Linked DNA regions of Solanum lycopersicum. The main gene of each other region encodes a partner of the protein of the gene in region 3 in a complex. Links are inferred from orthologs where the notes say so. Each region holds a gene or a part of one and is shown on either strand. Other genes may lie near its edges.

The links.
Region 1: mediator of RNA polymerase II transcription subunit 23 (region 3) and mediator of RNA polymerase II transcription subunit 27 share a complex: the UniProt entries of both Arabidopsis thaliana proteins name them as parts of the mediator complex. The link is inferred for Solanum lycopersicum from reciprocal best matches to the Arabidopsis thaliana genes AT1G23230 and AT3G09180.
Region 2: mediator of RNA polymerase II transcription subunit 23 (region 3) and mediator of RNA polymerase II transcription subunit 8 share a complex: the UniProt entries of both Arabidopsis thaliana proteins name them as parts of the mediator complex. The link is inferred for Solanum lycopersicum from reciprocal best matches to the Arabidopsis thaliana genes AT1G23230 and MED8.

What each region holds. Positions count from the first base shown.
Region 1 is NC_090800.1:77,928,985-77,932,742, forward strand, and holds the start of mediator of RNA polymerase II transcription subunit 27, read left to right. Parts: upstream 1-1,213; 5' UTR 1,214-1,524; intron 1,525-3,758. UniProt on the Arabidopsis thaliana protein: Component of the Mediator complex, a coactivator involved in the regulated transcription of nearly all RNA polymerase II-dependent genes.
Region 2 is NC_090802.1:67,512,243-67,516,000, forward strand, and holds the start of mediator of RNA polymerase II transcription subunit 8, read left to right. Parts: upstream 1-941; 5' UTR 942-1,031; coding exon 1,032-1,231; exon of another isoform or gene 1,232-1,353; intron 1,354-1,531; exon of another isoform or gene 1,532-1,605; coding exon of another isoform or gene 1,606-1,661; intron 1,662-2,617; coding exon 2,618-2,742; coding exon of another isoform or gene 2,743-2,767; intron 2,768-3,758. UniProt on the Arabidopsis thaliana protein: Component of the Mediator complex, a coactivator involved in the regulated transcription of nearly all RNA polymerase II-dependent genes.
Region 3 is NC_090804.1:17,735,947-17,739,604, reverse strand, and holds part of mediator of RNA polymerase II transcription subunit 23, read left to right. Parts: intron 1-1,937; coding exon 1,938-2,178; intron 2,179-2,272; coding exon 2,273-3,047; intron 3,048-3,658. UniProt on the Arabidopsis thaliana protein: Component of the Mediator complex, a coactivator involved in the regulated transcription of nearly all RNA polymerase II-dependent genes.

The DNA.
Region 1 (3,758 bases), on a different chromosome or scaffold from region 3:
AACATATTCCACCTCGACTTTCCCTTTATAAGTAATTCCAGTTTTGTCCTGAATAAACTTACCACCATGATGAAAACGAGTTATAATAATGGCGTCCATAAGATTCCCTGAAACAAGGCTCCAAATTTTTCTGACAGTTATGAACAATAAAAACCAAAAAACCCTAACTTTATCTAGATATTAACAACAACAACCACATTGATACTAAAACCCAGTATATATCAATAAAAACCACAGGATAAACACATATATTAAAAACACACAACCACAACAACATGCTCGTCACTTACCTCACACTCGTCAACTCGAAAATCGCGAATGAACTCCAAAATCGTCTGCAATCTTCGATGATTCCTTCAACAAAACACTCGAAATCACTTTAAAATCTAAGAATTTCAGTTGTAAAAGTCATTGAAAAGGAGAGATTCTTAGGGTTTTCTCGTTTAGAAACGGGTTAAAAGTGATTTGGGGGGGAATTGATTTTTAGGTTTGATGACATAATATGTGGCACTGACGTGTAATTGGGTTGGAGTGTATTGGTCAAAATTTCCACGTGGGGAAGGTTCATCTCACGCGCCTAATTACCAAAAATAATTTATTGAAATTTGACTCCACATCAGCCAAAAATATTTAAAAGGATCAAATTATAGGGGGTTAAAGGATTTATAGGAATCTTGGTTAGTTGAGGTACCTGGGGGAAAAGCGCGAACAACTTTAGGGACCTGCGTATGTATTTGGCCTATTTTTTTTCTTCAAAAATCTTGTATGTATTTATTTTAATATATATTTTATTTGTATTTCTATTTATTATAGTTTTTATTTAGAATTTTGTATAATAATATATAAAACACAAAAAAATTAGTATGATGAAAAAGTGAATGAAATAAAAAATTGAAAAGAAATAATTAAATATTTGGTGTACTCATTCTTAAATAAAATACATAACAGTTGACATACCTTTAGAATAAATACAAATTACAAAAAAAAAAGTCAAATTCAGAAACAATGCAATATAATTTTTGAATGAATACAACTATTAATTGTAAAAATTGACTAATATTATTAAAATATGGATATTATCACTAAATAAGTTGATTTTTTTGACTAGTTAGCTAAATTTCCCTTTTTATTTTTGCTAAAAAAAGACTCCAAGGACATGAGTCTCTCACTTGGGCCCAACATTCAAAACCAAATCCGGCCCAAAACCATGACTGACCCGCCCCACACTATTTCTTCAGACCCCCACGCGCCCCTCTTCTCCATTCAGACCTAAATCGCAGCATCCCTAAAAGACGAAGAACCCTAGTTCGGTGCGGCATCTCTTCATACACTACGCCGTGATTGGCACAATTTCTTGTACCGCTCAAAGATTTTAGAAACTCTTCGATGGTATTGTGTTGTAATTTACCAGAAACTGTGCCTCACTGCGAGTCTACGACCAGCGACATTGCCTGACTTTCACGATTTCTATTGACGGCTTTGCAATCTATCAGCATCTCAGTCTTTTCTTCCAAGTTTCAACTGGTAAGTTTTAATTTTCTGAATTTTAGTGCGACGATTTATGAGTTCCATAAAAATATACTGATTTCTGTTCATCTAGCAAAGTGACCTGTATTGTCATGAGACCTGATATGAATATTTTGTTAGATTGTTTCTATGCAGAAGTTGATATGCACCCGCAGTTAATAGATCTTTGGCAAAACTTTCACTTTTCAATGGTGGCAATACACAGTGATATAGGATGACTTTTAGTTTAGGGAGTGTTATCTTAGAATCACATTAGAACTATCAAGTCAAAATTAGCTCCATTAGGCTTTATTTTTTTTGGTTATTTGACAAGTCACAAGAAGGCTAAAAAAGCCTTGAAAGTTCTTGAGCCTTGGTGAAGAATTGTTTAAGCATTTAATAACTCATTTGTTTACTCCTGCTGACATAACAAGTGTCTGAGGAAATTCATTGTCCCCTTCTTGTTGCTTAGAATGAGTAAGCAGGTTACGTGGCCATACACATTTTTTAACTTGAACTGCTAATTGTTCGATAATCTGATAACTGGTGGCCTCTTCCTACTTTGAACAGCTCAGTTTACCCCCAAAAAATAATGCATTGCATGGGAATCAACCTCTTCAGGCTGCATACTCTAGGGATAGACATCAATTGGTCTGATCTCAAAGTGCATTGGAGCAAACACCTCTATACAATTGTATAACCATTTTTGGTTTCTACTTGGATCAGAAAGTTTGATGTATTTTATTTTCTTTAAATGTTGGACACCAAGAAGTCATGCAAACAGCAACCTATTAGTTTGTTTCTCCTTGGTATCCTACAAGTTGTGGCGATTCAAAGTCCCCTACTTTTTCCTTTCATGAGAATGTAGGCTACGATAACCGGACATCTCTATTCAGTTATCTTTACAGAAGCTACTAATCTATGATAAACTAAACTTGTTGCCTCTATTTTGCTCGTTATGTCCTTCATGCGGCTCTGAGAAATTTGATTGCCTTTTATTTTCTTTAAGCGTTGGACACCAAGAAGACATGCAGACAACAACCTATTAGTTTGTTTCTACTTGGTGTCCTACAAGTTGTGGAAATTCAAAGTCCCCTACTTTCTCATTCTCATGAGAATGTAGGCTACGATAACCCTACATCTCTATTCAGCTATCTGTGTGGAAGGTACTTATCTATGATATAGTGAACTTCTTGCCTCTCTTTTGCCTCTTTAAGAGATACAGCCTTCATGTGGTTCAGGGAAGTTTCATTGGCTTTTATTTTCTTTAAACGCCGGACACGAAGAAGACATGGAAACAGCAACATATTAGTTTGTTTCTCCTTGGTATCCTATATGTTGTGGGTATTCTAAGTCCCCTACTTTCTCCTTCTCATGAGAATGTGGGCTACGATAACCCTACATTTTTATACGGTTAACTTTACAGAACCTACTAATCTATGATATTTTAACCTAGCTGCCTTTTCTTTTGCCATCTACCTCAAGAGTTCCTTCATCTGGTTGACGAAATGTCTTTAGTTTGTTTAGGTGTCGGACTCCAAGAAGACTTGCAACGAATAAACTATTAGTTTGTTTCTCCATGGTATTCTACATATTTTGATGATTCATAGTCCCTTAATTGCTAGCTGTCTTTTCTTTTGCCAGTTCCTTCATCTGGTTGACGAAATGTCTTTAGTTTGTTTGAGCGTCGGACACCAAGGAGACTTGCAACAAATAAACTATTAGTTTGTTTCTACATATTTTGATGATTCCTAGTCCCTTACTTTTTATTCGGAAGTTTTAAGCTCTGATCATTTATGCTTTTGGCCTCAACCTGAAAAACCATTACACATTATCTCATCCCTTGCGTTCTATATAGCTAACAATTAGCATTCACTTGTTGGAAAGAGAATGAGGAATTTGCTGATTGGGAGCTGTATTGTTGGAAAGTATGAAGTTTTGATAGACTAAAAGATAGAACCACAGTTGTATTAGATGGGAAGAGCTGTTTCTATAGCAGGAATTTGAGTTATTCTTTTATAGAGTAATTGTGCTGAAAGTCTGTCCATTAGAAAGGCTTGTGCATTTCTTTGTTATGTTGGAAATGATACTGAGTATGTTTTCTATTGTGATTCTTTCTAGTCTTCTGTGAATACTTCTCTCTTTCTACTTTTCTTTGTAGTTGTTTCGTCCTCCCAGAAACTTAGGTTTCTATCTCTTCTAATGCATTTTCCTCTTTGGTTGTCCACGATCCACTTTCTTGTTTTTATTGT
Region 2 (3,758 bases), on a different chromosome or scaffold from region 3:
ACGTTGCTCTTTCATTTTCTCCAATTCTAGCAAATTCTTGAGCTCGAAATCACCAAAAACCAACCACAAAGTCACCAAGGACCCATTTCTCAACCATTTCCAACTAAAACAACCATCAAAAAATGGATCTCGACTTGACCCAAAACCCATTCATTTTTTTTTCTTTTTTTTTTTGGCGAACAGCTGCATAACCCAACCTTTTCAGGCCCACAAAACCCCAAATTCATTTGCTGTATAAAAACACCAGCGAGCCATCAGAACTCACACCACTATCGATACCATTCTTCGGTGAAACACCCATCAACAGTGAGCTCACAGACAGTGGTGAGCCACCACAAAATCTGCTACCTAAGGCCGAAATCTGGCCAAACCGACACCTTTAGGTCTCCATTCGATCCAGCCATGAAATGGCAAAAATCCACCGGAGAAAGCTGCCACATCCACCATTCCTCTTGTCGGTGAGACCATAAACACTTTTCCCTCACACGACTTTGTCTCCTTGTCGCCTCCGTCCGCCGCATAGATCGTCTAAAGAAAATGAAAGAAAAAAAATGGTTGAGCATGGATAGTTATGCATGAAAAAGTAGGTGGGTGGGTGAATAAAAAGGGTTTTTTATTTTTTTTCTTTTTTTAAATTAATTGTTCTATATTTTGATAAATTTTATAATTTTTAATTATAAATATGGTGTTCAGTTGCTTTTACACGCGTGTAATCACTCTCTCTAGCCAATTCAAACATTCAAATGGCACATAAGTTTGGTCAATGGTTAGAGGGTTCATTAAATTATGTTTTATTGAATTCAGGATCTAAATAACAAAAGGATAAGTAGAACGGTTCACAATACAATAACATACAAATATAAGGGTCCACCATACCATTTCACCTTAAATTAAAAATAAAACTAATATTATGGTGTTTAGATGGAAAAAATTATTAGAATTAGTAAAACTTTAGGTATGTACATTTTGAATAATAAAATATAAACATATAAATGCGTAATGAAAATTGCGGTTGAAGAGGGTTGGCGACCATGGAAGGAGTAGTGGCAGCTCAAGATCAGCAACAGCAACAGCCACAGCCGCCCAGGGTGGTGGAGGGTCTGAACCCCGCTGTTCAACAACAACTGAATCTCGAATCCGTTAAAACTCGAGCCGTTAGTTTGTTCAAGGCTATTTCTCGCATCCTCGAAGACTTCGACGCTATCGCTCGCACCAATGCTGTCCCCAAATGGTTCTCTTTCTCTTTAGTTCATTTCTTCTATTTTAACTGTGTAGCAGCAAATACAAATACATTGGAGTAGTTAAGTTGACTAATACTAATATCTACGAGCTGTATTAGCCCCCAAAATGAAGGTGAGTGAGACTAGATGATATTATTCTATCCCGTAGTACTAAGAGTTTAGAGTAGTCTATTTTTTTGTTAATAACCCTCAATTTGTTTTACCAAGCACCTCCTCTGACCTCTCTGATTAGGATACACTATGGTTTTATTGGGTAATTTCGGCTAATACAACTATGCTACCAAATGCAGGAAGTTTACTAGTTTGTCATTTAGGGATAGTTTATTGACAACACCAAAATGCATTTTGTGGGTTCTCCAGCCAAATGAGTTTCCGGTACTGTGTCTTCACAGGCTGGGATACCCCTGCTGAACTTTTAAGGTAGCCATTTTTATTCTTTGTCAATTTAGGCTGCGAGATTTGTTGTCATTAGGTAGGTCAGGATGTTGTGATTCTGTGTATATTTGGAGATGTAATTACTGAATTAAGTATAACAAGTTTGGGAATGCATGCTACAAAATACTACTTCAACTTTGATGCCTCAATAGTGCAGTTAATATCCTTCCATGAGCCTAGACTCACCAGGCAAGATTACCTTTTGGTTAGATGAACATTGCTACATAGGACATCACATTCTCAACCACAAATCATCTTCAGACAATTCCCTGGACACATCTCGGTTAGTAGGAGGTTACACAGTCTCTTCACCAACTTTCTTATACAGTTTGGGCTTGGATCTGCATATCCTTGTCCCCAGGTTTAGAGTAGTAATAAAGATCTGTGTGAAAAGGAGAAGCGCCTTATTGATGCATGTGGATTATCACAGTTGATCTCAATATTCTCATTATCTCCCTTAACAAATGAGAGTAGACCTTCACTCTCTAGCATTTATATATTATTCAACCCCACTTATAATAAAAAATCCAACCTAAGATATACTTGCACATTCGTTTTGTAGAAGGGAATGATATATAAGAAGATCAACTTACACATTTGATATTGATTTCCTTTGGTATCTTATTGTACTGCTGATTTTTTTCTTTTTCATATTATTTTTGTAAAATGAAATCCAAATCTTCAGCGTCATATATAATACCCTTTTCACGCAAAATCTGATCTGCCTCACTCTTTTTTTTCTTTCTATAGACACCATTTAACTTATTTGGATCTCGTTGGGAATTGAGATGAAGTGTTTTACAGTTGATACTTGATGATTATTCTTAAGAGTACTGAAAAAAAATATGGTATATCTTTATGAGGAATATGTAATCAGGAATGGTTTTCCAACTCATTTCTCATATATGTTAACATTTAGTTTTAATAATTCTTTTTGCTAGGCAAGATATTTTGGGGCAATTTTCTATGGTGAATCTTGAGCTTTATAACATTGTTGAAGATATTAAGAAGGTCTCCAAGGCTTTTGTTGTTCACCCCAAGAATGTAAATGCTGAGAATGCTGCAAGTATGGACTTATTCACTCACGCTTGGTAAATTTGTGAAGTTGGACTTCTATTATCCTTTCTTAATTATACATGCTAACCACTGACATTTGTCGTTGCATATAAGCAAGTACATAGGTAGTGTATAGGAAAGTGAATCACCGAGAAGGTTGGTGTCTTAATTCTTCTCTCCTCTCGAATGCTACCTAAGGGTATATACATATTTAGTCTGGCTGTTAAGTTGCTCTTTATCTAACAGTTTCACTTCTTGCTGACTTGCTGAGGTTAGCTTGATATACATGTATGCATAACTAGATAGCACGACAGTCAGTCACTATTGCTAGCAATTCTATTTCCATGTGGTGAAATTGTTTGAGCATAATCAATCAATCAATCAACCACACCCAATATCAAATTAGTTTTTTTTTTTTTTATGAAGTAAGTTGTTTCATTACCGGCATCAAGAAGATGCTAAGAGTACAAAAGTAGATATGCTAGTTCCGTTACATGATAGCAGTTAAGACACGGGAGCCATCCACCAATTCAAAAAATCTAGAGAAGGCTTAAAACATGACTATGTCTGGCCTAGAGTTAAAGAGCTAATAAAATCTAAGAAAGTAGTGTAACTATTCACATAAGACGGGTTGGACCAACAAAAAAGAATGAACAAACATTTAGCTTTGAGTGAGTGATTAAGAGTTGAAATTCCATCAAAACACCGTTGATTCCTTTCTGTCCATAGGCACCAAAAAATACATGCTGGAATCATTCTCCAGGTGTTCCTGATGGCCCCATCAACTATCAAATGGTCCCAACTCACAACAACTTCTCTGATAGTTTGAGGCATCACCCAGTTCAAACTGAATAGGGAAAGGAACACATGCCATATGCCTGCATCCACCGCACAACGCAAGAAAAGATGATTTACTGATTCTGCACTTTCCTGAATTTCTTTTCCAAATTTCTGATAAGGTTAATGAAAGAAATAAGCATGTATTTTTTGGGCTGTGGAGTATATTTGTGTTGACAGAAAATCCGA
Region 3 (3,658 bases):
ATTTTTGGGGTACATAAATTCATGTCATCTCACATACATCAGACACATATGGGACACATGAGGACTCTGAATGTCCATATCTTATGTATTCTTCTCCCTTTAGAAATTTGATAAGATGCGGAAAGACTTCTTCAGAAAACTACTTCTCAGGATACACATTCTTCCACTATTTCTAGTTCAATGAGATGAACAAGTGATAAATTTTCTAGTTTTTGTAGTACAGTTTGTTCAGCTCCCTTGAGATTTTTGCAAATGTTTTCCTCTATAGCCACGACAATATCACATACTTTAAGACTATCACTCTTTCAGATATGTTTAGTTGCTGACATCGGAAAACTAGACACATCTTTTATTGAAAAGAGTTTACTTCAAGGATAGCTCAGTTTGAAGTCATCCATAGAATTACAATCCACGTATGATACTGTTTTCTGAGTACAAACTTTATGCACTTCCAAGGTCTTTTATATTTAGCAGGCTAATAGTAGAAGAGTGTGAAGGATTAACAGGGTTAAAATGAGTCCTAAGGAACCCTAGTTTTCAAAATGATTGAAGATACATGAGTGTTTTTGTCATTAATAATTATCTGACTTGTTCTCTCTTACTGGGTCTTTTAAATATATAGTCCAAATGCATAAGGATAAAAGGGTTTAAAGGTAAATTCTCAAGGAACTATCTGATTTTCAAAATTATCACTGTCTTATAAGACGAGTTTGATGCCAAAGCAGGCTTTTACATCTATGCAGTTTGGTCATTTTTAGATGATATAAAATCACATGATTGGCTTAATAACATTTGAGCTGATTCAAAATCATCAAAAAATTCAAAAATAAATCATCAAAACAATTAGTGGTTGTTTGGTAGCTAATTAGAATTATACCGGTATTAGCAATGCATGAATTAGTTACAAGGTAATTTATGTATTTTTTGATGACCAAACAACGAGATAATTTATGTATACTTGCATAAAATAATACTTAGATTCTCTTGTAACTTATACGAGTATTATTTATGCATGTTTCTAAATCGCAAATCAATCACCGTTTTAATTTGATACATGAATAACTTACCTCATAACCAACTACCAAACATGGTATTGGTTATGCAATATTTGATACCTGCATAACTCACTTCCAATTCAGCTACCAAATGAACCCTTATTTATTACACCTAGCAACTTCTTGAGCTCTCCTTCAGGCTTTAACTAATTAACTTTATTTCTTTTTATTGTCTATGATCCATATTATATGGTATTTTTAACTTTTATTTTTACTTCTAATATAAATGTTCTGTTACATAATCAAGAAAACATTATTTTCATTTTTTTGAAATACCCTTAGTTAGATAAGTAAATTTTGACATAATGAAAAAATCATATTAAATGGGTACAGTTTTATCAAGGATAATTTAGAACATATTCATCTTTTTAGGAAAAAGTGAATTTCTTATGCAGTGATCAGTCAAAGCGATTAGAAGATATCTATGATGCTTTAAATTAAAACCATTTGTTTTATTGCTCAAAATTCTCCCATATTTTATCCTAACTAAGCACTAATACATTTGATTATGTTATTTCTTGTTCTTTTTATTATAAATGGCATTTGATTTCTAAAGTTTGACTGCTAATACAGTTCTTAGAGAAGACAAATGTGAATATCACTGTATTTTAAAAATATTAAATACTGCAACAGAAACTACGAAACTTCAGCTTATGGTGATTCGGCCTGTGCAGAGCAATAACTTCCCCTTTTTTAGTAGTCATAGATAAGCAGGTTATCTTTCGTATTAAAATTATCAGATGAGTAAAGAAAGCAGCCAACAGTAGTGGTTATAATTTCTATTCTAGGAAAATAGAATGAACAATTCTAATTGGTGCTAAAACTGTTAAAAAAACCTGTTATTAAAACTCCAACTTATACTTGATTTGCTTGTGGTTTCAGGTATCCAACATTTTTTGATGATATTGCTGCACGCCTGCTTCCAGTCATCCCCCTTATCATATATAGACTCATTGAAAATGACGCTATGGATGCGGCTGATAGAATTCTTCAAGTTTATTCACCCTTCCTTCATTACTATCCTCTGAACTTTACGTTTGTTCGTGATATACTTTCTTATTTCTATGGTCATCTTCCTGGAAAGCTAATACTCCGTATACTGAATATCTTAGATATTAAAAAGGTGATGGTGGTTGATGCTCCGTAACTTGCTAGTTTGTTTTACCTTCTCTTTTAGTAATTATTGAATCATTCTCTTTTTCTTTTCTTCTATGCAGATACCATTTTCAGAGTCATTCCCGCAACATATCAACTCATCAAATGCAGCCATGTGCCCACCATTGGACTACTTCGCTACTCTTTTGTTAGGACTGGTGAATCATGTTATTCCCGCTTTAAATAATAGCTCCAAATGTGCAGTGATGGGAGATTTTGCAAATAATTCTACCCGTGCTCCCCATGGAAAGATCCCAGCAACATCACAATCTGGGACAACTAATTCTTTTGACGGGCAGAAACCTTATTATCAGATGCAAGACCCTGGGATATCCACCCAGCTTACTCTTGAAACAGCTGTCATAGAATTACTTTCTCTTCCTGTTTCACCATCACAGATTGTCTCATCTCTAGTTCAAATTGTTGTTCACATACAACCAACCCTTGTTCAATCCAGCAATGGGCTTCATGGAGCTCCTGGTAGTTCAGGACAAGGCTCTATTTTGCCTACTTCTCCTTCAGGAGGAAGCACTGATTCTTTGGGTGCAACTAGGACGACTCCATCACTTTCAGGATTGAATACTTCTAATTTTGTTTCACGCAGTGGTTATACTTGCCAGCAGCTGTCTTGCTTGTTAATCCAAGCATGTGGTCTTCTTTTGGCACAACTTCCTCCAGAATTTCATGTGCAGCTATATGTTGAAGCTGCACGCATAATAAAAGAAAGTTGGTGGCTTACTGATGCTAAAAGGTCTGTGGGTGAATTAGAATCGGCTGTTAGTTATGCTCTACTAGATCCCACCTGGGCTGCACAGGATAATACCTCAACAGCCATTGGTATGCTTTCTTAACCAATCTGGTATAGCTATACTTGTTTATTTGCCCACTCCCTTTTTTCTCTCTATCGATTGACCTCTATTGATTAGTTTGCTGATCATGAAAATCCAAAAATTCTAGGTGAAAAAAAGTAGGTAAAAATAATGATCTTGGACTCTGAAGTAATGTGTCATACCGGTTTTAGTTCCATATTATTTAACTACTCATATGTAGACTTCAAAAGAACAATACAGACATTTTTACTGCTTGAAGTTAACAGAAACCAGAGGAAAATGTTTCTATTAACAGAATTTTGATTATAAAAATAAAAAAAAGTAAAAGAAAAGGAGTAGCAAAACTTGATGATACGCCACTTTCTCCTCCAACCTTCCCCTTGCTGATTCTCTTCGATCTCCTGTTCATCCTCCTACTGCTTTCACCAGAGAAAACATGTTCAAGTTATTCAAACTAAACATCTGCTTACTAGTAGAATGTTAGGAAACAAAGATAATCATATCCTCTGTCAATTTGTAAATAATCCAGTTTCTGATTTTTCAGTAGAAAATCTATCAAGATTGCCCATGATGCTGGAAGTTGAATGAATAGAAATGTTATGTAGTTGGAAAAATTTA